7 linked regions of the Xenopus tropicalis genome follow. The protein of the gene in region 3 interacts with the protein of the main gene of each other region in a pairwise test. Links are inferred from orthologs where the notes say so. Each region holds a gene or a part of one and is shown on either strand. Other genes may lie near its edges.

Region 1 (4,074 bases), on a different chromosome or scaffold from region 3:
TAATAAAACAGTACCTGTACTTGATCCCAACTAAGATATAATTACCCCTTATTGGGGGCAGAACAGCCCTATTGGGTTTATTTAATGGTTAAAATGATTCCCTTTTCTCTGTAATAATAAAAAACAGTACTGTACTTGAATTCCCAACTAAGATATAATTACCCTTATTGGGGCAGAACAGCCCTAATTGGGTTTATTTAATGGTTAAATGATTCCCTTTTCTCTGTAAAAATAAACAGTACCTGTACTTGATCCCAACTAAGATATAATTACCCCTTATTGGGCAGAACAGCCCTATTGGGTTTATTTCAATGGTTAAATGATTCCCTTTTCTCTGTAATAATAAAACAGTACCTGTACTTGATCCCAACTAAGATATAATTACCCCTTATTGGGGCAGAACAGCCCTATTGGGTTTATTTAATGGTTAAATGATTCCCTTTCTTCTGTAATAATAAAACAGTAACTGTACTTGATCCCAACTAGATATAATTACCCTTATTGGGGCAGAACAGCCCTATTGGGTTTATTTCATGGTTAAATGATTCCCTTTTCTCTGTATAATAAAACAGTTACCTGTACTTGATCCCAACTAAGATATAATTACCCCTTTATTGGGGCAGAACAGCCCTATTGGGTTTATTTCATGTTTAATGATTCCCTTTTCTCTGTATAATTAAAACAGTACCTGTACTTGTCCAACTAAGATATAATTACCTCCTTATTGGGGCAGAACAGCCCTATTGGGTTTATTTACATGGTTAAATGAATTCCCTTTTCTCTGTAATAATAAAACAGTACCTGTACTTGATCCAAACTAAGATATAATTTACCCCTTATTGGGCAGAACAGTCCTATTGGGTTTATTTAATGTTAAATGATTCCCTTTTCTCTGTAATAATAAAACAGTACCTGTACTTGATCCCAATAAGATATAATTACCCCCTTATTGGGGCAGAACAGCCCTATTGGGTTTATTTAATGATAAAATAATTTTTAGTAGAACTAAGGTATGGGGAATCCAAATTACAGAAGAATCCCTTAACTGGCCCTGAGCATTCTGGATAACAGGTCCCATAGTTGTGTCAGCTGCTCAGCAGGACATTGTAACAAAGGTTCCCATTGGTGCTGAGCTGGGGGTACTGACTGTGGGTTCTGGCTGGGGGCACTGGCCGTGGGTACTGGCTGGGGGCACTGGCCGTGGGTACTGGCGGGGGCACTGGCCGTGGGTACTTGGCTGGGGGCACTGGCCGTGGGTACTGGCTAGGGGGCACTGGCCGGGGGTACTGCCGGGGGCAAGTGGTCCGGGGGTACGGGCGGGGGCACTGGCCCGTGGGCAAATGGCTGGGGGCACTGGCTGGGGGTACTGGCTGGGGGGCACTGCTTGGGGGGCACTGGCTGGGGGGTACTGGCTGGGGGGCAACTGGCTGTGGGGGCCTGGCTGGGGGTACTGGCTGGGGGCACTGGCTGGGGGGCACTGGCTGGGGGCACTGGCCTGGGGGTACTGGCTGGGGGCACTGGCTTGGGGGTACTGGCTGGGGGTAGCTGGCTGGGGGGCACTGCTGGGGGTACTGGCTGGGGGCCTGGCTTGGGGGTACTGGCTGGGGGGCACGGCCTGGGGGTACTGGCTGGGGGGCACTATGGCTGGGGGACTGCTGGGGGCCTGGCTGGGGGCATCTGGCTTTGGGGGGCACTGGCTGGGGGTACTGGCTGGGGTACTTGGCTGGGGGCACTGGCTGGGGGTACGTGGCTTGGGGGTACTTGGCTTGGGGGCACTGGCTGGGGGTACTGGCTGGGGGTACTGGCCCGGGGGTCTGGCTGGGGGGGCACTGGCTGGGGGCACGGCTGGGGGCACTGGCTGGGGTACTGGCCGTGGGTACTGGCTGGGGGGGCACTGGCTGGGGGTACTGGCCCGTGGTACTTGGCTGGGGGCACTGGCTGGGGGCACTGGCTGGGGTACTGGCCGTGGGTACTGGCTTGGGGCACTGGCTGGGGTACTGGCCGTGGGTAACTGGCTGGGGGGCCACTGGCCTGGGGCGTATGGCCGTGGGTACTGGCTGGGGGCACTTGGCTGGGGGCACTGGCCTGGTGGGTACTGGCCGTGGGTACTGGCCGGGGCACTGGCCGGGGGTACTGGGCCGTGGGTACTGGCCGGGGGCACTGGCTGGGGGTACTGCCGTGGGTACTGGCTGGGGGGCACTGGCTGGGGGTACTGGCCGTGGGTACTTGGCTGGGGGGCACTGGCTGGGGGTACTGGCCGTGGGTACTGGCTGGGGGGCAACTGGCTGGGGGTACTGGCCGTGGGTTACTGGCTGGGGGGCACTGGCTGGGGGTACTGGCCGTGGGTATGGCTGGGGGGCACTGGCTGGGGCACTGGCCGTGGGTACTGGCTTGGGGGGGGCACTGGCTGGGGGCACTGGCCTGGGGGAACTGGCTGGGGGCAACTGGCCGTGGGTACTGGCTGGGGGGCACTTGGCTGGGGGCACTGGCTGGGGGTACTGGCTTGGGCGGCACTGGCTGTGGGGCACTGGCCTGGGGGTACTGGCTGGGGGCCTGGCTGGGGGCACTGGCTGGGGGCACTTGGCTGGGGGCACTGGCCGTGGTACTGGCTGGGGGGCACTGGCTGGGGGCACTGCTTGGGGGTAGGGGCAGGATACTCACCCCACATGTTGCGGAAGGACACCCGGTAAATCCCGGTCCCGGACATTACACTCGCCCCCCCCTGGATCCCCCTTGGACTGGAAGTATTTCTTCTAAGCCCCTCCGCACCTTGGCAGGGTCCGGGGGGGAGGGGAGGGGGGGGAGAGAGACCAAGGAGGGGAACCCCCGGCCCCCAGAACTCTCCGCTGCCTCCGCCATTGGACTTCGTCCTCGCACCACAAACCCCCGATAGTGAACAGTGGAGGCCCCCCAACACTGCGGTTCCCACTCCGGTCCGTTCCTGAGCCCCGCTTCCCGTGCCTGTCCTTCCCGGGGCCCCGATCCTTTCACTTCGCTTCTTCTCCCGGCCCCCTCCCCTCCCCGCCCGGCCCGCCCCGCCCGCCCCTCCCCGCCCCTCCCCGCCCCTCCCTGTGAGGCGGAAACCGAAAGTGAAGGCAGAGTTTCCCCGGAGCCGCCGCGCCCCTCACTCGAGAATATGCCCCCCAGGGTAAGTTGCACCCACTCAGTACGAGGGCCCCGGGGTACAGAGCGTCACGCTGGTAGCTCCCAGCTGGGTCTGATGGAACCCAGCTCAGCATCTGCCCCCCCTTCTGGGGCTATTACCCCCCCTCCCCCAATACACACCCGGCGGTAGGGAGGCGGGGGGCCGCAAACTCTGATCCCCCAAAATATAAACTGGTCTCCCCCCCCCCCCAGCTTACTGTTGACAGGCACTCTCCTACTACTGTCCCGTATCCCCCCCCCCCCCATAATAATCAGCACCCCAACTTACTGCCCCAGGTACAGAAACACTGATCCCCAGGGCAATTTAATTTGACCCAAACCAGCCGACACTGGCCAAAGCCCTCTGAGAGTAGCCCATAAATACCCCCCTAGAATACCCCATAAAATACCTCCCATATGCACAGTGAATAACATTCTAAAATTATAAGGTATATGGGAAACCCTTGGCCCCCCCCCTTAATTATTGTATAAATCACGCCCCCCAGCCCATGTGCCCCCCCCAAATTACTGGGGTGTTTCCCCCTGTGCCCCCCGTTACGGGTTGTTTCCCCCTGTGCCCCCAGTTAACTGGGTGTTTCCGCTCTGTGCCCCCCAGTTACTGGGGTGTTTCCCCCTGCGCCCCCAGATACTGGGGGTGTTTCCCTGCGCACCCCTCAGTTTACTGGGGGTGTTTCCCTCTCTGCCCCCCAGTTACTGGAAGTGGTTTCCCTCGTCTGCCCCCCATGTTAACTGGGGTTGTTTCCCTCTCGTGCCCCAGTTACATGGAGTGTTCCCTCTCTGCCCTCCCAGTTACTGGGTGTTTCCCCCTGTGCCCCCCCCAGTTACTGGAGGTTTCCCTCCTGTGCCCCCCCAGTTACCTGGGGTGTTTCCCTCTGTGCCCCCCAGTTACTGGAGTGTTTCCCTCTGTGC
Region 2 (4,055 bases), on a different chromosome or scaffold from region 3:
CAATATATATATATAATATAATATTTACCATTTGGTAACTTATAACTACATAATAATTATTATAGAAAGGTGTTTTTTTACTTGTGATACACAAAGATCAGTCTTGAGAAACAAGTGACATCACTAAACTCTGATTATAACTGGTGACATCACCATTTACCATTTGTAAAGATACTAAAGAGGTTAGTGATGTGTAATAGAGGGGAGAGGCAGAGGGAAAGAGTTGGAGAGGCAGGAAATTTACACATGGGGGAATGGTGAGGAAGTGCTTAGGAACCGCACACATAGGATATTAAGAAACTGGGAAGCAAGTGAGATGTATAGTAAAATCGTGACTTTTTTGTACCTTTATTTAAGCCCCACCCCTCAAAGGGTCCCTGTGATGCTGGGAACCCAGGTAAAATGTACTTTCGACCCAGCTGAAAATATATACAGGAGAATAAAAACAAAAGTGGATTCAGGAGTATTTAATGCAGGCCTGTACAAAACATACAGGAAATATTCCAACAATAGGGGGCAGCAGGGCCCAAATCCTTTCCTGCATGTAATGCACTAACCAGCATTTTAACCCTTGAAATGCAATATATCCAGCTGGAGAAAATGTGTGCGAGGGCATCTCTACTCACCTGCTTATACTCACTACCATCTCCTCCTGCCGCTCACTGCCACCTCTCTCCCTTACACTCAGTGCCACGCTGGCTGCTCACGTCGCTGCTGCGGGGGCCAACTCAACAAAATCAGGGGCCTGGGATGAAATATGGACACGGGGGCCCTATTACATTAGTCACCAACTAAGTGCCACTGTGACACTCAGGATCCAAATTCTTTAATTGGCTGATATTGCCATTGTGCCGCTGTGGAACAGGTTTCACATACAGAGCTCTCAAATCATTATTTAAAATACTGTACAGGTACTTTAATAAGAAGAAGATTATGAAGCCTTTTTTTTCCCATTTTCTTGGTGTTACAGGCCCCTTAATGCACAAGTAGTGTCAAGAGTCTCTGTTGGCAGCTTCCTATATACCCCAAACGGTTTGTGCGCAAGTAAGAGACGAGGGACAGAGTATTCCTTTAGGGCTATGGCAGATTAGAAGTTTAGCAGTAATGAAAAGGCCAGTGACTCGATACAGGTCCCACAGGCATTTTGATCAAACTGGTTCTTCCTAAAAGAACTACAGGGATGAAAATACATAGTGTTTCCTAAAGGCAAAGGGAGTCATTTACAAACCAAGCGCACCCCTTAGGGCTCACTTACAGAGCACTTTTGCCCCTGGGGTTGCTGCTCTCTGCCCTGGACGCTCGATGGAAAATCTGGTGCTCAGAGAAGAAAGCAGCAACAGGAGGAGTAGTGCAGCCATGTCCTTACCGGCTTCCTTAGGGCAGACGTACAGGTGAGGCCCAATTGGAGCGGTGCCTCCTTACGCTCTGTACCTTGCACTTCTCAATGGGCAGGTAGGGAGCAAAAGAGCTCTCCCCATCCACCCCTTACTAATAAATTGCTGACTAACGCAGTCAGCGCTGTATTAGTGAAACATACAAGTACTTGCTTTGCTTCTGTAGAAGAAACCCAACATGCCCTGCCTTTGGGCACTATGGCACCAGGAGTGTTAGAGATGTCAAAGTGACTTCTAGTGGTCGGCTCTTCCGTTTATTGCTGGGTTTAACCCTCACTGCATAAGGGACTTAGTCATCTGGGCCGCTCCCCCACAACCAATAGGTGCAATAAACATGGTGCTTATCGTATGCGAAGAGTTTGTGAATTGGTTTTTATATGAAAGAGAATGCAGAAACCAGAATAGTTTGTAACTTTAAGTTCTCTAAATAAACATGCTACTTTCTTAGCAGGGTTACTAGCCTCTATCTCACACACAGGTATGGGATTCCTTATCCAGAAAGCTCTTCATTATGGGAAAAACATTCATAAAATGGGGGGGGGGGGGCCTGACTGTACAAGCAGGGCAAAACAGCAAACTGATTAATGGGGGGCTGCCTTATTGCCATGGATATCAGGTTCAGAAATAAACTTTTCCCTTTCCCTCCTCCCAGTCCCTCAGTCCCTGCGTCTCCCCTCTGCCCCCGGGGGGATTCCAATAAATGGCAACAAACATGGGCCTGGGGGAGACACAGGCCTAAAGCCCCCACCTTACAATACACACAGTACAATCCAACCAACAACTGTTACTGTCAGTACTTGTGCCATTCCCACCCCCTATACACACACATACCCGCCTCACTGCAGGAAAGGCACTTACTAACTAGCAAACAACTCCTGCTCAATTGCTAGAGATGGGACTACTGAAGGCTCTCAGGGGATGCTGGGAGTTGAAGTACAACAGCTGCTGGGCTGCAGGCCGGATAGAATGAAGGGCTGTAGGGATCAGGACACATGCACCCCTACATCCCTGCCATTCCCATACACAGAGCCCCCACATACCATAGGTACCTGCCCCATACCTACCGGTAACCCCGCTAGCACCCCATGTCCCGAGTCATGTGACCCATTAGTGCCCGGTACCGGCAGGGCTTTCCCAGGTGCATGACACACACTGCCCCGCCCTTCATCCCCCCTGTGCCAACTTTGTTATAAGGCAGCGAATGCAGCACAACCCGGACTGGCAGCGCCCCGGCCCTTTCCCAACTCCACACTGACTCCCCGTTACCTGCGCACCGGGACCCGTCACGGCTCTTCCCTCCCCCGTTCTGTCAAGTTTTGTCAAGGCCACAGGACGCACGTTTACAGCAAAAATCTTGTAATGCTCAGCAGCTGCCACTAGAGGGCGCCCGTTCCACAGCAAAGCAAAGGGAAACTTTTTTTTTTAACCAAATACTTTATTGAAACCACAGAGAGGCGCAAAGTGACAAAATGCCTATGAGAGAGGAGCTGGGTTCCCTGTTCAGTGATTGGCTGTGCCCATTGGCCTACTGTCTGACTTACACATTATTACTAATCTAGTTAATGACTATGTTACTACAAGTGCAATGTTAGAATTATAGTCAATGAAATATACTTATTTACTAATATTCCTCACTGTTATTGCCATTTACAATAAAACTCCTGTACTGTCAGGTGTGGGACCCGAAGCGATGTAAAATCATTGCTGAAGCTAAAAAATTGATCAAATAATGTCACCAAATGCTTACTGCACATGTACGGCCGGAATTCAACTCCAGAACTTTGGGAGGTTTTGTTAAAATCGGGAGAATGCTGCTGGGGAATGGGAGACCCGGGGAGTGCCTCCACAATCTGGAAACTTTTAGTATCATGTAGAGAATGATATTTAAAGACAAATTGCAATTGGTCTTCATTTTATATTTTTAAACATTTTTTAATTATTTCACTTTTTGTTTAACTGCTCTCCATTGTGGAATTTCTAGAGCTATCTTGTTGCTAGGGCCCAATTTAACCTAGTAACCAGGGAGTGATTTAAAAGACAGACAGGAATATGAACAGAGGAGGGCCTAAATAGAAAGATATGTAATTAAAAGTAATAGCAATAGGTATTTAGGTGCCGGCGTCAGTGACCCCCGTCTGAAAGCTGGAAAGAGTCAGAAGAGAAAGGCAAATAATTCAAAAATAAAAAATGAAGACCAACTGAAGAGTTGCTAATAATAGGCCATTCTATAACACAGCGTTTTTCAACCGCTGTTCCGCGGCACACTAATTGACTGGTGTGCCGTAGGCAGGGCCGCAATTTTTACTTTCAAAGGGGGCCCGGCGATGCTACAGTTTTTCTTAGTAGCTCGGGCCCCCTTTAATAAAATCCGGGCCCTGTCATTGGTTGCGCCCCACGTGTACGGGTGACGTCAGTACGCACGGGGCGCAACCTTATAAAAGGGCCTGTGTGCGGTCGCGTGTAGGCAGAAGTGCAGAGGCGTCGCGCCTGAGGGATACGAAGATGCTGCTGAAGCCACCGGAGAAGCCGCCGAAGAGCAGAAGTAAAATGCTGCTGGGCACCAATGTATTAGGGGGGGCCATGGGGCACACTGACTTATGGGGGCACTGCTGCTGACATCAGTAGTAGGAAAGCTTCTGGAAGGGGTAATAAGGGATAGGA
Region 3 (3,500 bases):
CTACAAGTTATACAAAAAAAGTCAACCTCCATTTTATAATTGTATAGGTTTCCTTCTGGCAGCTACTGACACTAAAAATATTCTTATGCAGGGATAGGATGATGCCTTTGGTTGTGTAAGGGTTACTGTTTTATGCAGAATTGAAACACAAAGCAGTAAAGTGATAAATGCACTACCTATTTGCTGTCCAAGTCTGGTTAAAAATGGAGGTATCGCTGAATGAATTACAGAGTATAAGGGACTGGACTCGGGGAGATTTGTGAGTGTACTCGGCAAACTTCTGCGCTAGGAATCCCCCAAGAGATGCTCCAAATAGATGAACCTGCAAGCAACAGATAAAACAAGTGAGCAGATATGAGCATGCACTTGCCTGGCATTAGTGGGACATATTCTAATATATATTTAAAGGCACAGAATTGCCTGATGCCATCATACTGTTTAATGGCAAGGGTCTTCCTCACATTAATGCATCAAACTGACTACAAGACAAAATCAGAACAAAGAACTTTGTTAAAATACTAATTACATTATATAATAATTGAATATGTAATGCATGTGTACATTAACAAAGTACAACGTAAAAGTTTAGAGAGTATAATAGGTCACCGGTTATAATAAATGCCTACTAAATGTTATCCAGAATATCTTACCTTATCCAAGTGCAAATCATCCAGTAGTTTCCTGAATCCATCGCAAAACTCTAAATGGTCCCAATAAACAGGGTACTGGAGCTGAAAAGAGCAACACTAGTTACATAACTGCAATTACTTTCATACAATTCAAACAATACTGAGATTCTCCAGCTTCCAAGGACAGAGAAAGAAGTATGATGTGATTGTAACAGGGTAAACAACAATAAAAAGCACAATGTGGCAGTTCAAGTCAGCCTGTGGATAGAACATTATAGGATGGGTCTTATTGGAGAGCTGGCCCTCTGCTATCCCTTCTAGCACTAATATTCTGAATTCTAGAATTAACCTGGACAAAGAACAAACATATATTACACTGACTCTGGCTCGGCTTATGTTTTACATTGGGTTTTAGGCTGTTGCCATTTTCATGAAATGAATTATTTCTCTCCTGCAGTCTAATTTATTAGAATATTACCAGTGCAGTGGAGGTAGGCCATGGGTAAGTGGTACAGCCAGACAGGTACTCCAGCTTCAATTTGCCATAACCAGATATATGTTTTATGGCACAAGGCAAGTTCCCAAAACCATCCTCATCCAACAGAATATTCATCTTGTAACAGCATCTGTGGTGGAAAGTTAAGTCTCCAAGCTCTAAAGCTTACAGGATTGCTAAGCCTATTAACTATAACCCTAAGGGAGAGTTAAACCTCATGGTTTTAAGAAACTCATTTGACTGCAGATCACACTACTTCTGACACTTCAGTAACAAGGAAGCATAACTATATATTTAAAAAGTTTTTGTAGAGATGTATTTTAAGTCTCCGATTTCGTACTCACAGCGATAACTCTGTAGCCCCACCCTGTCAGTGCCAGGATCTGATGGAAGAAGACGTCCGCAGTGCCGCTAACTGGAGGCAGACATATAATGGGACAGCGCACACTGCGGGGGCCAGCATCATAGAGAGACCACACCTTGCTGTCGTCATCATCCACAATGATCTACAGAACAAGACAAAGCTCATAAATGAGCAACTTATTTACAGATTTGACTGAATTCTAAAACATATCAGCTACTGTCCACAATTATCCCACCATCTGTTTATATCTCTTTGTGTCTGGCAGCCAAAGAGTAATTCCAGACTCTTTCTTTTTCCACTCTGTGGTCTAAGTATAGAACACAGAGATAGAAGAACAAAACTAGAGGACAGTAACCCTCACTGTAGGAAAACACGTGCTTTTATATTTTGACTAATGCCTGATTGCTAAGGTAATTACAACTAAAGAACAGGCAGCAACGCCAAAAAACCCCTTGTAGAATGGATATCACTGTGGGCTGCGATCCAGGGTGGGGGATGTGTCTTGGGCGCACATCGCGTTTGGCCCGGCCCTGCCCAGACCCACTACCTAACACCACCTGAAAATAGGTAAGTTACCTTTCAACCAGGGACCCACAAACCCGGACGTGACATCACTGTATATCGGAGCCAGCGCAGAAGGGTAAGGGGGAAAAAAAAACTTGCCATATTGCATGGGGAGTTACGACTCCCGCAGCTTAGCCAGGTACCCAGCAGAGTTACCCATGACTTTCTGCCCAAAACCCAACCTCTCTGTGGGTATTTCACAGGTACCCGACCCTATGCAGGACTCTAATACAGGGCCAGTTTTAGTGCAGGGGAAGAGTGGAAATGTGGTTTTGGCTTCCAGTCTCAGAATGGGCTTGTGCCAAAGAAAACACAGTAGAAAACCCCAAACTACTGATCTTTCAGTGATGTCTAACCTGTGGATTCTACCTTTTGGAGAAAGCTGGGATTTGTGGTTTAACTAAAGAAAAAGTAAAAAATATATATATGATTTGCAAAGATTTTGTTCCATAGTTTTCCTGCATTGCCCCTGAGCTCCCTCACTCCAATCCTGGCAATATACTGCTGAACACATCCTTTATCCTACTTATCTGAGGAAAGTCAATACATTGCGCCATAGAATGTAAAGGACAAATTCCAGCAAAGCGGTATAATCCAGCCTGGTCTCTAGTGTCATCTGAATCCTACTTACCCTTTTTAGAGGAACTGTGCTGCGAAACCAGTTATAATCCGGAGAGATTTTGATGGCTCCCATTGTGCAGTGTGAGCAGGGAGACAGATCTGTAGGGAAGAAGCAGGCATGTGATGAGTCAGGCTCAAAATGCAGAAAGTACACTACCACACACACACACTCACACACACAAAGAGGTCTGTGTCTGCACTGTAATCAAGAAGCCTCTCTTCTTATCAGTCTTGCAAAGGTGTGCCTAATGACACATACTTCTCTGTGCTTGCTCAATATATTAACCTGTCATCGGAAACCCCTAAACTGGACAGAAAGACACTGTTTTAATAATTATTTTAAAATGAATATAGATGAGTGATTATTATTCCCATCGCAGAGGTTTCCAGTTATACTGGCACATTACTAACAAAGACAGTATCAATGTCAATGCCAAACTATGTGGCAGCATGGTGGCTTAGAGGGTAGCACTTCTGCACTTTTTCTTGCAACTCTGGGGGCCCTAATTTGATTCTAAACCTGGAAATGCAAGGAGTTTGCATCTTCACCTCTGTCTGTGTGGCTTTGTTCCATGTACTCTTCCTAAAATTGACTATACTGCATATAAGGACAAATAAGAAGCATTCCCTCTAGTGGGCCTCTGACTCTCTCACTGTTTACAAGTCTTACACTTCACGTTTCTGTTACATGTATGTACAGTATGATACTCTGATGAACGGAATGCAGACTGAATAGATATGTAGCATGTTTCCCCCTTGAATACTGCTAGACGAACATGCACGTTCATCAGAGCTTCACAAACCCTTGCCCAGGCAGAAGGCAGTG
Region 4 (4,129 bases), on a different chromosome or scaffold from region 3:
CGGTGTGGGAGCCGCTGCCTTGCTCTTGGCAGTTAGACCCCTTCTCTCCCAAGTATTAACAAACACTGTATAGAACCTGCAAAATATAATAGGCCTACGTACAAGACCAAAAGTGTTTAATTGGTACGCTTATCTAAATAAGAGAAATGGATGTGCAAATTTGCTGTGTATCATTTATGTATGTTCTGAATGCTTCTTGCTATGCTATGCTATTAGGAAGTACATATCTGTAATGACCAAAACCTAATTTATTTTATATAAAAAATACAAAAAAATGATAAACTTTTATAAATGAATGCAAGAAAATTTCTCTGGGACTATCCGCTTGCCTAACAAATACTTTGTTCAAAAAACAAACAAAACATTTCTTCCATATTTAGAGGCGTATTATGCACTGGCACTTTTATAAATACAATATGTACTCTTTAAAAGGTTTACTATCATTCTTTATCCAGAATTTACAAAACGTTAAAGATTAAGGATTTTAATCCTGTAGTCCAGGGATTATCAACCTTTTATACCCATGAGCCACATTTAAAGAAAGGGGAGCAACACAAGCAAAACAAAAAGGTTCCAGGGGGTGCCAATAAGAGCTATAATTGGCTACTTAATAGCCCCTATGTGAACAGGCAGCCTACAGAAGGCTCTGCTTGTCGGTACACCTGGCCTTTATGCAACCAAAACTTGCCTCCTTACAAGAAATTCAAAAATAAGCACCTGCCTTGAGGCCACTGGGAGCAACATCCAAGGGCAGAGATCCCCAACCTTCCTTATTGTGAGATACAGTCAAATGTAAAAAGACTTGGGGAGCAACACAAGCATCATAAAAGTTCATGGAGGTGCCAAATAAGGGCTAAGATTGGCTATTATGGGCCTCTATAGACACTATCAGCTTACAGGGGGATTTATTTGGTAGTAAATCTTGTTTTTATTCAACCAAAACTTGCCTCCAAGTCAGGAATTCAAAAATAACTACCTAGTTTGGGGCACTGAGAGCAACATCCAAGGGGTTGGTGAGCAACATGTTGCCCCTGAGCCCCTGGTTGGGGATCACTGATGTAGTCCCATCAAAACAATGGTGTTTGACCTATTTATCTTCCTGTGTAAATACTACTGTATTACAACTTATTACCTATGTAAGGGCTCTGGCACATGGGGAGATTAGTTGCCCGCGACAAATCTCCCTGTTCGCGGGCGACTAATCTCCCCGAGTTGCCATCACCTGCCATCCCACCGGCGAACGTGTAAGTCGCCAGTGGGATGGCACACACGGCGGCGCAATCTTGGCAAATCGCCGAAGTTGCCTTGTGAGCCTTTTCCGGCGACTAATCTCCCCGTGTGCCAGAGCCCTAAATGTAGGCCTTATAGCACAACTTCACCTTGAGTAGCTGCCCCCATGGCTACACTGTAGTCTAAATAAACAGCAGAAGGCCCAGACTGGCAATCTCTAGATTCTGGCAAATGCCAGAGGGGTTGCTGTAATATGTCATACACAGTGACTATTGGGCCTGTAGGTGGCTGTTTGGGCCTCTGTATAATTGAAATAACTGGGCCTATTGTGAATCTCAGACCGGACACAAAGTGCTAATTGCACACAAGGTGTTTTGGAGCATTTTGTAGTTCTGGGGGGCAGATTACAAAGCCCTTCAAATTACCCCTTTATTAACTTTGTATTTACAGTGCCCCAACAATTCCTGGTGCAGGCAATTACTGCTTGATAACACAGTGCCTAAAGAAATATACCTCTGCAAATCACCCCACTTGCCCACACCGTACGCTCTTGTACGATTAGAGCTTTTGCTAAGAAAAGACTAATTTTTACTGATTGTACCCCAAATATACGAACACCCAAAGTCTGTGTTTTGTAAGAATAAGCATCAGGCGCTTAAGGAGGAAACGCTCAGGCAGCGCATGTATTTCAGCCCCAGGCTGGAATATGCCCATCAGTAACCCATGTGTCACCCATGTGTATTAATAACTTCCCAGGCAGATCAATGCGGCTTCCAATGTTTGTGTATGTGCCTCTTTAAACACAGAAGTTATTTTTAAACATTCAGTTTCCCTTTAAAGGCCTCCTGCCCTCACACAAGGGGGTGGGGGTATTTGCACATCTCCTACCCAGGTTTAACATATACCTAACTCTGGAGCTTCCAAATAAGCAAACAAGCCAGAGTCGCCACAGAACGAAATCAGCCATACTGCACATCCCAGAGTTGGGTTTGAATTATTTAATATAAATAAAATACGCTTCACAGCCCCCTGTCCTTGAATATGAATAGTCTGTACACTAACTGCGCAACAAGTATCACCATTACCCCATTTTGTAATTGGCCGCTTATCACTTAATGTCGCTTCCCACATGGCTGTCCATAACCTAACCCACGTGGTTATATTGCCCTCCGCTTCACAGAAGAGCCGGGTGGGGCATGTCGGGAAGTGTAGTCCCAAGCCTCCCCTACTGCCACAAACTGCAACTGCTTGGAAACTACAAATCCCAGAACCCCGTTCGACTATACTTCTGGCGCCCGATGATAAGTCACGGATAGAATGTAGCAATGCCGGCAGAATAAGGGGGGGGACTTGCAATATTTACTTCTATTTGCCCCTGTTCCTTCCGGCAGTGGCCCTTACCACGTCTCCTGGTTGCTGAACTTCTTAGTGACAACGCGGCCCAACTCAAGCCCGAGCCGGTCTGCGATCTTTTGAGACAAATCTTGATGGGAGCTGCCGCTGAAAATCTTGATGTTGGGCATCGTTTCCCTGTGGTGTTGGGAGACGCGTCAGTCAGTCAGGCGGCTGAGGGGCCAGGGGACAGAGCGCAGGGTGTTTTGTTAGTTAACGGAGAGCGAGTCCCCTCCTTCCTGCCCGTGATGGCTCTTGGTCCAATAGGGGAGCATCTTGACCACGCCCCTCAGGTTGCGTCACCATTACTAAGGGACGGAGAGCGCTTGGTTTTGGGATTGGCGCGGTTCTCATAGTAGCAGAGGCTGGGGGTATAGGCGTGAGGGATGCTTGCTCGGTTTGGTTGAACCGATAGCATGGGTGTCATTATCATTGGCTTCCTGTTAGTGAGCACGATAATCAGCTCTCCAGGGAGATGCGCAACGTAATGGCTCCTGTAATGCCGCGTCTTTAGTTTAGGGAGGGGAATATATTGCACAGAGGCTGAGAGACTGCTCGCCGATAGCAGCGCTCGTCCTCCACAATCCAAAAAAGATTAAGTCTAAGGCGGCTAAACACTAATATATTGGCGACGTTTTTTATTTTTAGCGACCAAATGCTCAATTGCTGTATCATATATGTAAGCGCCCTGCCATAGCTGTAATGGGCTTAGGGACCCGGCCCCACATGGGCGCAACTATAAAGATACTGGGAAGCCAAGTGTAGGTGTGGGTGCAACTGGTTGGGAAAGGGGGTGCAGCAGGCAGGGAACCAATACATATTTCTATTGCTCTGCTTCACAAAATAAATACATTTATCATGGCAGTATCCTTTAGAACGTCTTCAAATTCCTGGAAATTGTCATAAACAGACCCAAAAGAGGTGTCTGTAATAGAATTATTATTAGAGCAATTGGGTTTTCATCTTGGCTTACTGCAAGAGGCATAGTTGGGATGTTATAAAAGCTAGAATTTCCTTTCTGTGGCCGAGCTCTTGGAAAGCCAAGTAACCCATAACAAGGCCTCACATTAACACATAATGAATATTTTCTGTAGCGACTGTCTTGATGTTGTAAGTGGTTGTATACACACCCCAGGGAACCTTCCTTTTACAAGGATTTTTACTGCCAGTAGTTACTTGTCAGGTGCTGACCGAATTATTTCATAAAAATAAAAGTATTTTTAGTTTTTGGTGTAACATGCACTTCAACTCATCCTGTATTAGCTGTGTGAATTATTCACAGTAACATGTTTTCATGTTGTAGAAAGGCCACCGTCCAGTTATTCTGTAACATGAGTGATAGGGGATCAGAGAGAAGGAATAATCCACATTTATTTCCGTTCTCCAGTTATCTTTGAAGGGGGAAAGTACCTTCAGTATGGGCAATGGGGTCAGTCCCTAGATCACAAAGATTGTATTACTGTTAATAATGTATTTATAAATCAGCATATTGTGCAATGCAGTAAAT
Region 5 (3,959 bases), on a different chromosome or scaffold from region 3:
TGTAGCATTAATACAAGAAGAGAGAATGTGAATTTAAGGTGCCTAGGATGTCAAAAGGGAAATAAATATAGCAACCAGAATGTGTACCTCCTCTAGTGACAGATTCAGCTGTGTTTAGAGCCTGTCCTCCAAGGTCACTAACAACGCTGTCCACCGTTCGATGGTGCTTCAGGAAAAATGGGCGGATGAACCGGTCATATAGAATCTGAGAGCCATTCCATGAAAATGGAGCCATACACCAAAGTAAGAAGCAACACTGTAGAGAAACCCATTGACACACTGATTAGAAGGAAGCAAGTAAGGCAGACTTGATCAATATCTATGGTAAACAATGTAAAAATAAATTTCAGTCTTGTAATTAGCATTTGATGCAATAAAACCTAACTGGGATTCTAAATTTCTGAATACAGATCTTGCATCTAAATGCAAGATAAAGTCATACTGTTGTTGGCATTATCAACTATTATCATAATAGGTTATTATTATTTCAATTATTTACACCCCTCAAAAGCAAGACTGGACTGTGCCAGCATAATGAAGTATTCATTATAAAACACTGAATTTCAATAAAAAAAAAAGGCTCTCAGAGCAGTTCACCAATACACAGAGGTGAGATAGGCTCTAAATAAATGCAGAAGCTTTATAGATTAATATATGAATTACTAGCATGTGATTTGAGGTGACTGTTCAATACTTAAAAACATTCTCTTTCTTAAGAGAAGCTATAGCTAGCCAAACATGTCAAAAACTGGTCCGGCAATGTGTCTGCTTTTTCCCCTTACTGACCAACTACCTGGACATATATTCCAGGTTATAACTCACCAAGATGAAACTTTCAAACATACCAGATCTGTGATCCCACAGGATTACAGGATTGCAGGATTAGATGTAAAAATTATAAATCAGAGAAGGGGAAAAGTTCAAGCAAATTTTTTAAAGCATTCTCACCTTTCTTTTGGCAAATGACAAACTCAAAATGAATATTTTTAGCACTTTCACCTGTCCCTTAACTACTGACCTTGCCCAGGTAGTAAAATGGAAACCAGAAGAGAAATATGTCAGAGAAAAATTCCACTACACTGAACACGCCATATACCACCCAGTATGTCAGCCATATTGTGTCATCTTTTTTATCTGGGCTTTCAATAGCTTTAACCCTACAAGACAAAATGAGAAATTGTAGATTTTACATTAGTATAGTATTAGCAACAAAGTGTCAAAACACTAAGGAGCAGATTTACCTAGGTGTGAGATTACAGCTCACCACAGAAAAATTCACCCACTTTCTATTCATTCCCAAGTGTTTTTATAAACGGGAGAAAATTAAAGCTTGCCATTTGATAAATACACTTTTAAAAATCCCGTGGGAATGAATAGAAAGTATGTCATTTTTTCTGTGGTAAACTCTAATCTCACACATTGATAAATCTGCCTCTTAACAGGAGAAACATTCTCCAACAGGTACAAACACTTTAATCTACTTTTCCTTCCCCCATCCAGAAGACACTCTAATCTCATTCACTGCTGAGGAATAAATCCGGATACTTACGAAACATAGGCTGGGTACACAAAGCCAATCAGATTGCAGACAAGAGAAGCCCCATAGCCAAATATAAGGTACAGCCCTAGGGAGCAGATGGAACCTAGGAAGAAAAGCATTGTAATAAAAAAAAGAATGAACATTTGTATGTATATCTTTATTTATAAAACACTACTTATGTACGCAGCGCTGTACAGTAGAATACATTAATACAAACAGGGGGTTACTAAGATAATAGATAAATACAAAGTATAACAATAAATACAAATATATACAAGATACAGTTACAGTTGCAATAAGTTAAGAGTCAAAGACACAAGCGGATGGAGGTCCCTGCCCCATAGAGCTTACAATCTATATACATTTACATATTTAGTGAGCTCCCTAGAGTAAGGAAGGGAAATGTTGCTCTTTATATCAGTGTCTTAAAAGGTGGCCAATGGGTGGCATGCTGTGACCTTCACATTAGGATACTCTTATTCACAGACAGCATAAGAAAATGATAAGGCACATGACAGGCCAGATATGTAGATGTGGCTGTAACAGCACCCAAAGCAGATCACTTATTAACCATAACGATTATACAAGAACGACTAGTACCCAAGCAGATGGAATGTGGTATTATTTTTCACCAACATAAAATACAATGTGCAGCAGTCATAAATAGGGGCCACATGTGAGGCTACTGAAATCTTGCAACTTGACCTCGGCTTCTCAGCATGGATTCCTGCAGAACGTGGTCTGGGACGTAAAGCTAATGCAGCGACATAATCCCCCTGTCTGGCTCCAGCAGCCTCACACGTTCTATTCAATGGCTTAGTGCCCCACTTATTAGCAACCCCTCTTACTTTTTTGTATTGAATGTAGCCATATACACGATGCCACACGCAATCACAGTGGAACTATCTACTCCTTCTTCGTCGCACTGAATGATCACGTTTAAATCACAAGCTAGAAGGGTAGTTGTCATTTAAACAACTCTCTATACAAATACAGGAACACTGAGACGGAAGCCCCTTTTAACCCTGTCCTGAGCATGCCGTCTAATTACACGTCCACCTGTTAGCAGATACAGAACTCCTGTCATAGCCCCGAATAATAGCTAGCTCACCCGAAGCAAGATAATACTTTTTGATCCCAGTTTTCTCCTCAGCCTTCCCCAATAACCGGGATACGAAGTTGTCTCCATTCAGAAAGTTCTGGAGGCGCTCCTTGATAGAAGGCATGGCTATGGAGCAAGGTCCAGGTACTGGGGACAAACAGATAATCTACAGGGTCTGAGCCGTATGCGGGCGCACCGGCTGGACTGCAGGGGGGGGGGGAAGTGTCACATGTTCAAAACCCAATCACATCGAAGGGCGTGTCCTCTTCGAGCAGGTGAAGGCGGTTCAGGGAACAAGTGCTGTGAGAGTGTTAGCGTTTAGCTGTATCTCTGTGAATTTAGGTGAGGTTAACGTGCCTTTATGTGCAGGACTTCAACGTAAACCTATTATTATTTTTCTGGTCTTTTTTTTCCATAATTTGGGTAACCCGAAGCTCTGAAACAAATCGTGTTTCCGGGATTGTGTGAATCCAGTAAGCATAGTCAGTTAGTGGTGGTATAAGTAATAACCATTTAAATGATTATTTGGGTATTAATACTTTTGCTTTTAACATCACTTCATATATAATCATTTCCTGCTGCCTTCCAAAATAGTTCCAAAGTAACTGTTAAAGGGGGACTAAACCCCAAAATAAACTGATGTAGCGTTGTTTCCCAAGCGCTTTTGCAATTTACATTCATTTTTTTTATTTTTAGAGGCTTTTGATATATTTGCATTAGGCAGTGCCAAATTTGTGGCATCTGTTTTAAAAAATGAAAGCTTCTAAAGTTAGCAGAGGCAGCTTTTTGCCACCTGCATTCAGATCAACTGGGAGTCAGCAAGCCAAGGGTTAAATGACTTCAGGCAGTGTAAAGATAATAGACAGAGTTTCTGACACTATAGGCCTTTAATAACCGTTGAGCTGAAATCTGCCTAGCAGTATAAGGCTGATGCCAGATGTGGCGTTTTTACACTGTAAATTCTAATTCACTCAGCGGCTGAAAAACGCACAATATCATCATCCATAGAAAACACACTATGTGTAAATACGCAAATACATAAATACGACTTCTCATGCGTTTGCCGAAATACGCCGTTATTTGCACAGCAACTTATTCCTATGTATACACAAAGGCAGCTTCCAGACCTAGCGGAAATACGCAGCGTTTTTTACTATTTTGCACTATTAGCTCCATGGGAACCAGGATTTGCTACGTCACCAGTACTAGGCTGAAAAATGCCATAGTCAGGGGCTGTGTGGCTTGTGCGGCGTTTTTAGGCGGAGAAAATACGCAGCGTAAAAACACCACGTCTGGCATCAGCCTTAAACTGTGAAC
Region 6 (4,061 bases), on a different chromosome or scaffold from region 3:
AAACGACTTTGAGAAAAACACAGCAAGATTACTGCAAGATAAAAATTAGGCACCCCCATTGATTATAATCGCTTACCTTAGACCAGGGGTCCCCAAACTTTTTAATCTGTGAGCCATATTCAAATGTAAAATAAATTTGGAGAGCAACACAAACATGCATTCTTGGGGTGCCTTACAGTTCATCATTCAGTTGATAACAGTAAATGTCATAATTAAAATATCGTAAGTAAGTTATTACAATACAGTCCAGTTCTCACAGGTCACACAAAACAGTCTTTCTTCATTGAAAGCTGTTAAAATTAGCAGTGTAAAAGTTTGTGGTTGGTTCTAATCTAAGAGAATGCAATTAGGAAGAAGAAAAACATTTCCAGTTATGTCTTGTCTGCCACCTAACTGGCCTCAAAGGTTCAGTTCTGCTTTTCATTTGCAGCTACATTTCTGAGTTTACCAGTAATCTTTTCATCTGAGCATTCATTTTTCTTTTCAGATTTTTCTGAGTTTGTATTTTCAACAAGGAATGCAAAGCTAGGGTGGCAGAAGGGCTCATATACTATATGTTGACACTTCTTTCTGGCTGTTTAAAGTAGATAGTTAATTTAGCAATATAGAGTCAAATAAATATAAGTTGTAGTAAAAATGCATTCTGCCTAATCTTTTAATTAAAAAAAGTTTTCAAATTCAAAAAGGCAAATTGTATTTTACACACCCCCTGGAATGAGTATCATTAAAGAGTGATAATGAGAACCTCCATCTTCTAATTTACGATAGATGTACTTGTAGACAGGGAGTTCAGAGAGTTAAATGACAGTGAGAATCTCATTATATACCTTCTTTTTCTCTTGTTGTTGTAAAAGACTGGGATCAAGTATAAAATCAGTTTTCTATAATGTTTAGAAATAAGTTGAAGGACATTCTAGATAATAGGATGTATGAAAAAATTATTTAATGTTTAGGTAAGGACTTTGAAAAATGTGTAACACTAACTTTCTGTTTATTTTTTATTAAAACATATACTTTTTGATTGTCTTCAAAAAAGAGATTTTGTACTCACCGGAAAATCCTTTTCTCATAGGCCCGAACTGTTAGAAGTTAGGGGTTTTGTCTTGAATCACCTCTGGAGGCAGGACAGAGAATTGAAACTTGGTACTCCTGGTCCCTCCCACTGTATATAAGGCTCGTCTCCACCCTCATTCCTCAGTTCTGTTGGTAAGCTCGGTCGGTGGAGACAGTACAGATAGAAGGAAGGCTAAGAGACATAAGGTAGAAAGATAGCGAGAAAGAGGTCCCGGTGCCCATACTAAATCAGCCTGGGTGGGACTTACTGCACTGACAGTTCGGGCCTACTAAAAAAGGATTTTCCGGTGAGTACAAAATCTGCTTTTCTCTAGCAGCCCTCCTGTCAGTGCAGACATTAGGGGATGTCCCAAAGCTGTCCCTCTAGTTGGGTGGGTAAAACTTCAGTTTTATTGGCACTATGCCAAAACAGCCTGTAGGACTTTCCGACCAAACGTGGCCGGCTGTGAGGCATAAACATTTAACTTGTAGAACTTGATGAAGGTGTTTGGTGAAACCCAAGTGGCTGCTCGGCAGATCTGGTCTGCGGTTGCCATGTTCTGCAGTGCCAGTGTAGAGTGGGCTTTCACTGAGTATGGTCTGGGCATGTTTCTGCGATCATAAGCCATATTAATAGTCTCAACTAGCCAACGAGCTATAGTTCTTTTAGATACGGCTTTTCCTCTGTATGCCGTTGCATATGATATCAGGAGACTATCAGACTGTCTGTAGTCAGCCGATCTCTTTAGGTAAATGCGGATAGCCTGGACAACATCCAGCTTATGGAGTAGTTTTTCCTTCTCGTTGGATGGGCTCGGGCAGAAGGAAGGCAGTATGATGTCTTGGTTCATGTGGCGTTCGGTCACCACCTTTGGTAAAAATATTGGTGTGGTTCTAAGGACCGCCTTGTCGTGGTTCCCTGCAGGACAGTGCCGCCATCTCGGATACCCGTTTTGCTGATGTGATCGTTATTAAGAAAGTGACTTTAAATGAGAGCCACTTAAGCTCACACATCGACAGGGGTTCAAAGGGTGATTGTTGGAGTGCGGCTAGGACTAATGGTAAGCTCCATGTTGCAAGGGGTTCCCTTAGCGGGGGGTCGTACTCTGGTTACCCCTCTGATGAACTGTTGGACCATAGGATCTTCGGCCCACTTGAAGTGTGTCAGCGCTGTAATCGCCTAAGCTTGTGTTTTTAGAGTGCGTAAGCCCAATCCCTTTTGGAAGCCGTCCGTTAGAAATTCCACCACCTCAACTGTGGAGATATCTCTCCAAGGCGTGGCCCTTTTCCTGCACCAGGTTAAGAAAGTCCTCCAGACCCTATGGTATACCCTAGTGGTAGATTGCTTGCGGGCTTGTAAGAAGATGTCTATGGCGATCTGTGAAAATCCCTGTTGACGCCACCAATCGGTTTCAAGAGCCACGCAGTTAGGCGAAGCATCCTCAGGTTGGGATGTTTTATTGGCCCTTGAGTTTACAGATCGGGTAGTAGAGGTAATCTCCAAGGTGTGGCAATCGATAATTTGACAACAACTGTATACCATACTCTGTTCGGCCAGTCTGGGGCTATCAGTATTGTGACTGTGTTGGATTGCTTCAGTCTCCTGATTACTCTGGGTAAGATGGCTAGTGGTGGAAACGCGTATACCATGCTGAAGTTCCATGGTACCACCAGCACATCCACCAGCGCTGCTCCTGGGTCCCTTGTTCTGGCGCAATAGAGTGGAAGCTTTGCATTGTGTTTTGATGCCAACATATCTATCTCAGGGGTCCCCCACCTGTGAGTTAGTTATTGGAATACATCCTTGTTGAGGGACCATTCTCCCTGGTCGATGGTTGTTCTGCTCAGGTAGTCCGCTTCCCAATTCAGTACCCCTGGTATGTATACTGCTGAGATGTTCGGTACCATCTGTTCCGCCCAGGTCACTATTCTGGAGGCCTCCTGCATGGCTAGTTTGCTGTGAGTGCCCCCTTGTTTGTTGATATATGCTACTGCAGTTGCATTGTCAGGCTGTACTCGGATTGACCGAGATTGTAGAATTGTTGACCAGTTCTCCAGTTCTAGGGCAATTGCTCGAAGCTCTAACACGTTGATGGGTAAGTGACTCTCCTCCTTGGACCATGTCCCCTGGAGTCTAAGGTTTTTGTGTACTGCCCCCCAGCCCCTGAGGCTGGCGTTTGTGGTCACTACCTCTCAGGTGGTGTTTGCCCAGCTCCTTCCCTGTCGAAGATTGTCATCTCTCACCCACCAGAGAAGGCTGTCCTTGGTCGTCTGCGAGATAGGTATCTCCTGCTGTAGATCTTGGTGGTTCCTGTTCCAATGCTGCAGGAAATTTCACTGTAGAGGTCTGAGGTGAAATCTGGTGAAGGGTATGGCCTCCAGGGTTGATACCATGAGGCCCAGAAGGCGTAGGCAGTCCTCTGCCAAGTTCCTTTTCCTGACCCAGAAGGCCTGAGTTGTCGTGACTAATGTGTTCGATCTTGTCTTGGGGTAGGATTATTACCCTCTGTGCCCTGGAGTCGAAAATGAGGCCCAGGAATAGGATCGTCTGACTTGGCGTGAGGGAAGTTTTTCGGTGATTGATCAGCCAGCCGTGTTGTGTTAGAACCTGGAGACACAAGTTTGTGTCCTCAGTCGCTTGTTGATAAGGAAGGTGTTCCTTCCTTCTTTGCTCTCCCGTGTGCTGGGGGGGGAGGGGTGACACTTCAGGGACAGCTCTGCGTGTCCAGTGTCCCCAACACTGCACAGTAATCCGCACTTTGTGGGCAGCTCTGCGTACCCTAGTGCTTTAGAGATCCTCCTGTGGATCTTCTGAGTCCCCCTTGTAGTAAGCTGGTCTAGTCCTGGAATTGAATCCAGTAAGACAGCCGTGCCTTGTGATATCCTCTTTTTGATCGACAATAATAAAAAATAAAGAAAAAAGGAAGGAAAAGAAAAGAAAATAAAAATATGTGAATATAGAATCAGTCCTTCACCTCCGAGGCAGGACAAAGAACTGAGGAATGAGG
Region 7 (3,500 bases), on a different chromosome or scaffold from region 3:
TGAGCGTGCTTGCATACATTGCCTTGGCCCTGCTGTCAGTCTCCATCAGCTTTAGGATATACAGAGGGGTTCTACAGGCCATCCAGAAGTCTGATGAAGGGCACCCATTCAGGTATGAGTTCTTTCATGTATTATTGCTTAGAAATGTCAATAAAAGGCATTTGACCATTTCCCCTTCCAGCGTTTTACAATCCATATTACTGCCAAGAAGTTTACACCATGCCAGAGATGTAGAGTCTGTATTACTGGGTCCCATTGATATAAATGGAAATAGCTACGTAAAGGAAGTTCTATCTTTTTGTTACACTGTAAATGAAGAAATTAATTTAACCCCTACATAGTGAAAGCATTGCTTCTGATGATAAAACCCAAGAAGGAATGTTTTAGTGTTGCCTTTACACTGTGACATGACTCGGGTTACAGAGGAAGATCCCAATGCTGGTGAGGAGCACTGTAAGTGAATAAAGCCTATAGAAGTCTCTTCTCAAGGTCACACACACACTCCCAGTAGCTTTAATAACTTGACCCCTCTATGGTCCTCAGCTAAAATATCCAACAGGAGGTTATTTCAGTCTTCTGTTATTCCCCCACCCCCCTTCCAGAGTGCCATGTCCTGCCATGGAGTTGACTTGAAATTCTATATGTTTCTGCTCTTCTATTTTAACATCCCCAATATTGCAGATAGCATAGTTATGGGGAATTACATCATAAGCTGGAGCAAGAGATAAGCAATGATTGGATCTGCCTGATTTTGCCCAGAGTATCTGCAGACAAATCGGGCAAAGATAATGTTCGTTTGGTGACCTCGCCAAGGTATTTAGGTGTGTGGTTAGTTTTTTGGTAATCATAAAATGATAGGAATGGCACTTGCTTATATTGTTTAGGCTCATTGCCCTTTATTTCAAGCCGCAATTTGACTCCCTTCGTTAGGAAGAGAGCTTAGAAACCCCACACATGACTTGGTCTGGTGTCCAGAATCCAGGTACGGAGATTGCAAAAGGAGGTGAGGGGTCCCACAAGCCCCTCTTGGCTTGGCCTGCTGGAGGCCACTTGCTCTGGCGTAGCTCTCAGATTTCATTACATGACAGACACGTCAGCATTGGTTCTTCTGCTCACTTCTGACTTGCATATTGTACACTTGTCATCATAAATCCTGGCCAGGCTCATTTTACTAAGTGCTATGTATTTTTGGAAACACATTCTCCTAACAACGGGAACTACATAATGAGGGGTAACTTGCAAGGGATATAATGATTATTATCGTTTTAACTTTAGCGTTTTTTGGTTCTAGTTTCTGCCAAAAAAAAGTCCGTTGTACATTTGATGATAGCAGAAGCATTATAAATTGTTTAAAGCTGCCTCTTTTTTTCATTGCTACAATAGCTGCCATGTTGCCTGTGATAACTTAGCTACAGCTCTCTGTCCATTGGTTTTTGTTGTGTCAGCCCTCAGCTTATGTTACTTTATATCACAGTTGAGATTCATATTTTAGTTTCAACCCATGAAGGAATTTAGAGGCCATGTTTGTGAGGCCATGTTTGTCCCTTAAGCACCTTAGAGGCACAGAGGGCAGTTCTCAGAATTTTGCTGCCTGTGTGATTCCAGGCTTAGTGGGTGGGCACCAAAGCCCCGGTTAATTGCCCCTCCATTGACTAGAATTGTAATTGCTTGGACCCTGCTGGTTCCCTTGTGGGTTGAACTCGGAATCTTGTGGGCAACTCAAGGATGAAAAACTGTGTGTGCCATTGCCCTAAGGATTCTGCCCCCTGGGCAGTTTGCCATTAGCAGGGGGGGTCTAAGTCTAAGTTTGCAGTTGCCGCCATAGAGCTTTAACTGGGCTATTGACCTCCAGTACCAGTGCCCAGAGCACCCCATGTGCCTTATCCCTTCCACTCTCGTAGCCAAATCAGTAGTGATGAGCGATAGATTTCACTTATTGACTTACAATTCCAGTGCCTTCAAGGGTAACTAATCCTGTGCCTGTGTGTTCCTGCCATAAAGTTAAATGGCTGTTTTTATAGAAAAATTCTGGTGAGGGCTGCTTATCCATATGGCACCATAAAAATGTAAATGTTATGGCCGGTATGGCAGTGCCCTCCTGTGTGAGATAAGGCTGAGTAGAGAAACATATAGATTTGGCAAAATAATCCTAAACAAAGTTAATGTCATTCTGACTTGTGAGTAATAAATTTCCCCTTAATAGACAACCAATGAGGGCTCCTACAGATGCTCCCCGGGCCAGTGTCAGGGTGGGACCAGTTAAGGGAGGGCTAAATGATTATTTGGGAGCCCAGAGCCAGTCGCGTGAGGGCAGCCATACTGCCAAGTTATCACAGCCACATTACATTAAGTTTTCCAGTGTTTACAGGGCCCCCAGTAGAACATCTTGCCCAGTGTGTGACTTGGACACTATGGGACTTTGTGCTATTTCTGTCCCCATTGCCCAATGCTCTATTTCCTTGTAAATCATTAGTACATGTTCCTACTCCCAAGGTTCCCAGTCTGTGCCCGCACCGCCTTTATAGACACCTGCCTTGCTCTTCCCACAGAGGGGCCATTGGGCAAGTGCTACACTGGCACTGAGTGCAGATTATAACAGGCTGATTGGCGTAGGCTCAGCTCAGCAACCCTTTATTGGCATTAATTGGTTTCTAAATAGTACAGCACAAACCTATGACTTATATTTTTACCATTTTAAAAAGTGAATTAGATGCTTATTAAAGTAGATGTCCACTTTCTTATCAAGTCCCTGATCCCTAAATGAGTATTTTAACAATAGGGTCTTGTTTCGTTTACATTTTATAATAAAATGAATGATGTTATGATGATTGAATCCTGCACTGTCCCCATGGAGAAGGGGGTTGCTGGACCGCACCTCCACTAATTTCCTGCAGAGATGGGCAGCGGGTACCAGCGAGGAGCCGGAACTGTGCCAGTACTGCACATGGCTGCCTAAACTATCCGATCACATTGAAGAGATGCAGGCCATTGTGTGCATCAATAAGCCTACTCGCCCCACGGCGATTTTTAATACTGCCAGATTAACATCTTGCTGATTTTTCTGTCAAATATCTGTCCGCGGGCCCCATACACAGCCTGACAAGCTGCCGATTTAGATCAGCTTTTATTGGCCTGTGTATGGCCACCATAAGTGCTTAGTTTAGAAACTCTGATGTAGCCATAAGGCCTGTGTTTTTGTGCGTGGGGATCCTCCTGTTAGGGTGGTCTCCATTCTGTAACCCAGGGAGCAGTGACAGATTGCACTTTGTCTGATGCCATTTTCTGCAAAATCGTGGGCAAAACTCCTTTTGTGCCGTTTACATCAGACTGGGTGTCAGTCTGGCATCAGCCAGCTGCTAGTGGGCATAACGGTATTGGATTATACCGGCCATATTATGTAACTAGAACCTCTTATCCTGTAACTTATGGGGTTCTGAGTATTTGATCCGACAGACTCTTGGAACAGAGTGTCGCTGCCCGATCCCATTCCCAGTGCATGA

Evidence for each region.
Region 1: the proteins of spg21 (region 3) and E3 ubiquitin-protein ligase DTX3L interact in binary tests that used the Homo sapiens proteins (3 or more experiments, as listed by UniProt). The two-hybrid records come from large-scale screens. The link is inferred for Xenopus tropicalis from reciprocal best matches to the Homo sapiens genes SPG21 and DTX3L.
Region 2: the proteins of spg21 (region 3) and ctps2 interact in binary tests that used the Homo sapiens proteins (3 or more experiments, as listed by UniProt). The two-hybrid records come from large-scale screens. The link is inferred for Xenopus tropicalis from reciprocal best matches to the Homo sapiens genes SPG21 and CTPS2.
Region 4: the proteins of spg21 (region 3) and prps1 interact in binary tests that used the Homo sapiens proteins (3 or more experiments, as listed by UniProt). The two-hybrid records come from large-scale screens. The link is inferred for Xenopus tropicalis from reciprocal best matches to the Homo sapiens genes SPG21 and PRPS1.
Region 5: the proteins of spg21 (region 3) and reep6 interact in binary tests that used the Homo sapiens proteins (3 or more experiments, as listed by UniProt). The two-hybrid records come from large-scale screens. The link is inferred for Xenopus tropicalis from reciprocal best matches to the Homo sapiens genes SPG21 and REEP6.
Region 6: the proteins of spg21 (region 3) and fam114a1 interact in binary tests that used the Homo sapiens proteins (3 or more experiments, as listed by UniProt). The two-hybrid records come from large-scale screens. The link is inferred for Xenopus tropicalis from reciprocal best matches to the Homo sapiens genes SPG21 and FAM114A1.
Region 7: the proteins of spg21 (region 3) and rtn4 interact in a two-hybrid assay, tested with the Homo sapiens proteins (2 studies listed by BioGRID and IntAct). The two-hybrid records come from large-scale screens. The link is inferred for Xenopus tropicalis from reciprocal best matches to the Homo sapiens genes SPG21 and RTN4.

Annotation. Positions count from the first base shown.
Region 1 is NC_030685.2:90,211,651-90,215,724, forward strand, and holds the start of E3 ubiquitin-protein ligase DTX3L, read right to left. Parts: upstream 2,801-4,074; 5' UTR 2,708-2,800; coding exon 2,662-2,707; intron 1-2,661.
Region 2 is NC_030678.2:30,311,505-30,315,559, forward strand, and holds the start of ctps2 (CTP synthase 2), read right to left. Parts: upstream 2,801-4,055; 5' UTR 2,661-2,800; intron 2,626-2,660; exon of another isoform or gene 2,459-2,625; intron 746-2,458; 5' UTR 647-745; coding exon 627-646; intron 1-626. UniProt on the Homo sapiens protein: Catalyzes the ATP-dependent amination of UTP to CTP with either L-glutamine or ammonia as the source of nitrogen. Constitutes the rate-limiting enzyme in the synthesis of cytosine nucleotides.
Region 3 is NC_030679.2:116,213,708-116,217,207, forward strand, and holds part of spg21 (maspardin), read right to left. Parts: intron 2,774-3,500; 5' UTR 2,748-2,773; coding exon 2,685-2,747; intron 1,632-2,684; coding exon 1,470-1,631; intron 732-1,469; coding exon 651-731; intron 323-650; coding exon 177-322; intron 1-176. UniProt on the Homo sapiens protein: May play a role as a negative regulatory factor in CD4-dependent T-cell activation.
Region 4 is NC_030684.2:37,498,142-37,502,270, reverse strand, and holds the start of prps1 (ribose-phosphate pyrophosphokinase 1), read right to left. Parts: upstream 2,801-4,129; 5' UTR 2,754-2,800; coding exon 2,632-2,753; intron 1-2,631. UniProt on the Homo sapiens protein: Catalyzes the synthesis of phosphoribosylpyrophosphate (PRPP) that is essential for nucleotide synthesis.
Region 5 is NC_030677.2:99,404,692-99,408,650, reverse strand, and holds the start of reep6 (receptor expression-enhancing protein 6), read right to left. Parts: upstream 2,801-3,959; 5' UTR 2,767-2,800; coding exon 2,652-2,766; intron 1,644-2,651; coding exon 1,550-1,643; intron 1,158-1,549; coding exon 1,019-1,157; intron 257-1,018; coding exon 88-256; intron 1-87. UniProt on the Homo sapiens protein: Required for correct function and survival of retinal photoreceptors. Required for retinal development.
Region 6 is NC_030677.2:35,808,031-35,812,091, forward strand, and holds the start of fam114a1 (protein NOXP20), read left to right. Parts: upstream 1-1,261; 5' UTR 1,262-1,361; intron 1,362-4,061. UniProt on the Homo sapiens protein: May play a role in neuronal cell development.
Region 7 is NC_030681.2:24,246,774-24,250,273, reverse strand, and holds part of rtn4 (reticulon-4), read left to right. Parts: coding exon 1-112; intron 113-3,500. UniProt on the Homo sapiens protein: Required to induce the formation and stabilization of endoplasmic reticulum (ER) tubules. They regulate membrane morphogenesis in the ER by promoting tubular ER production.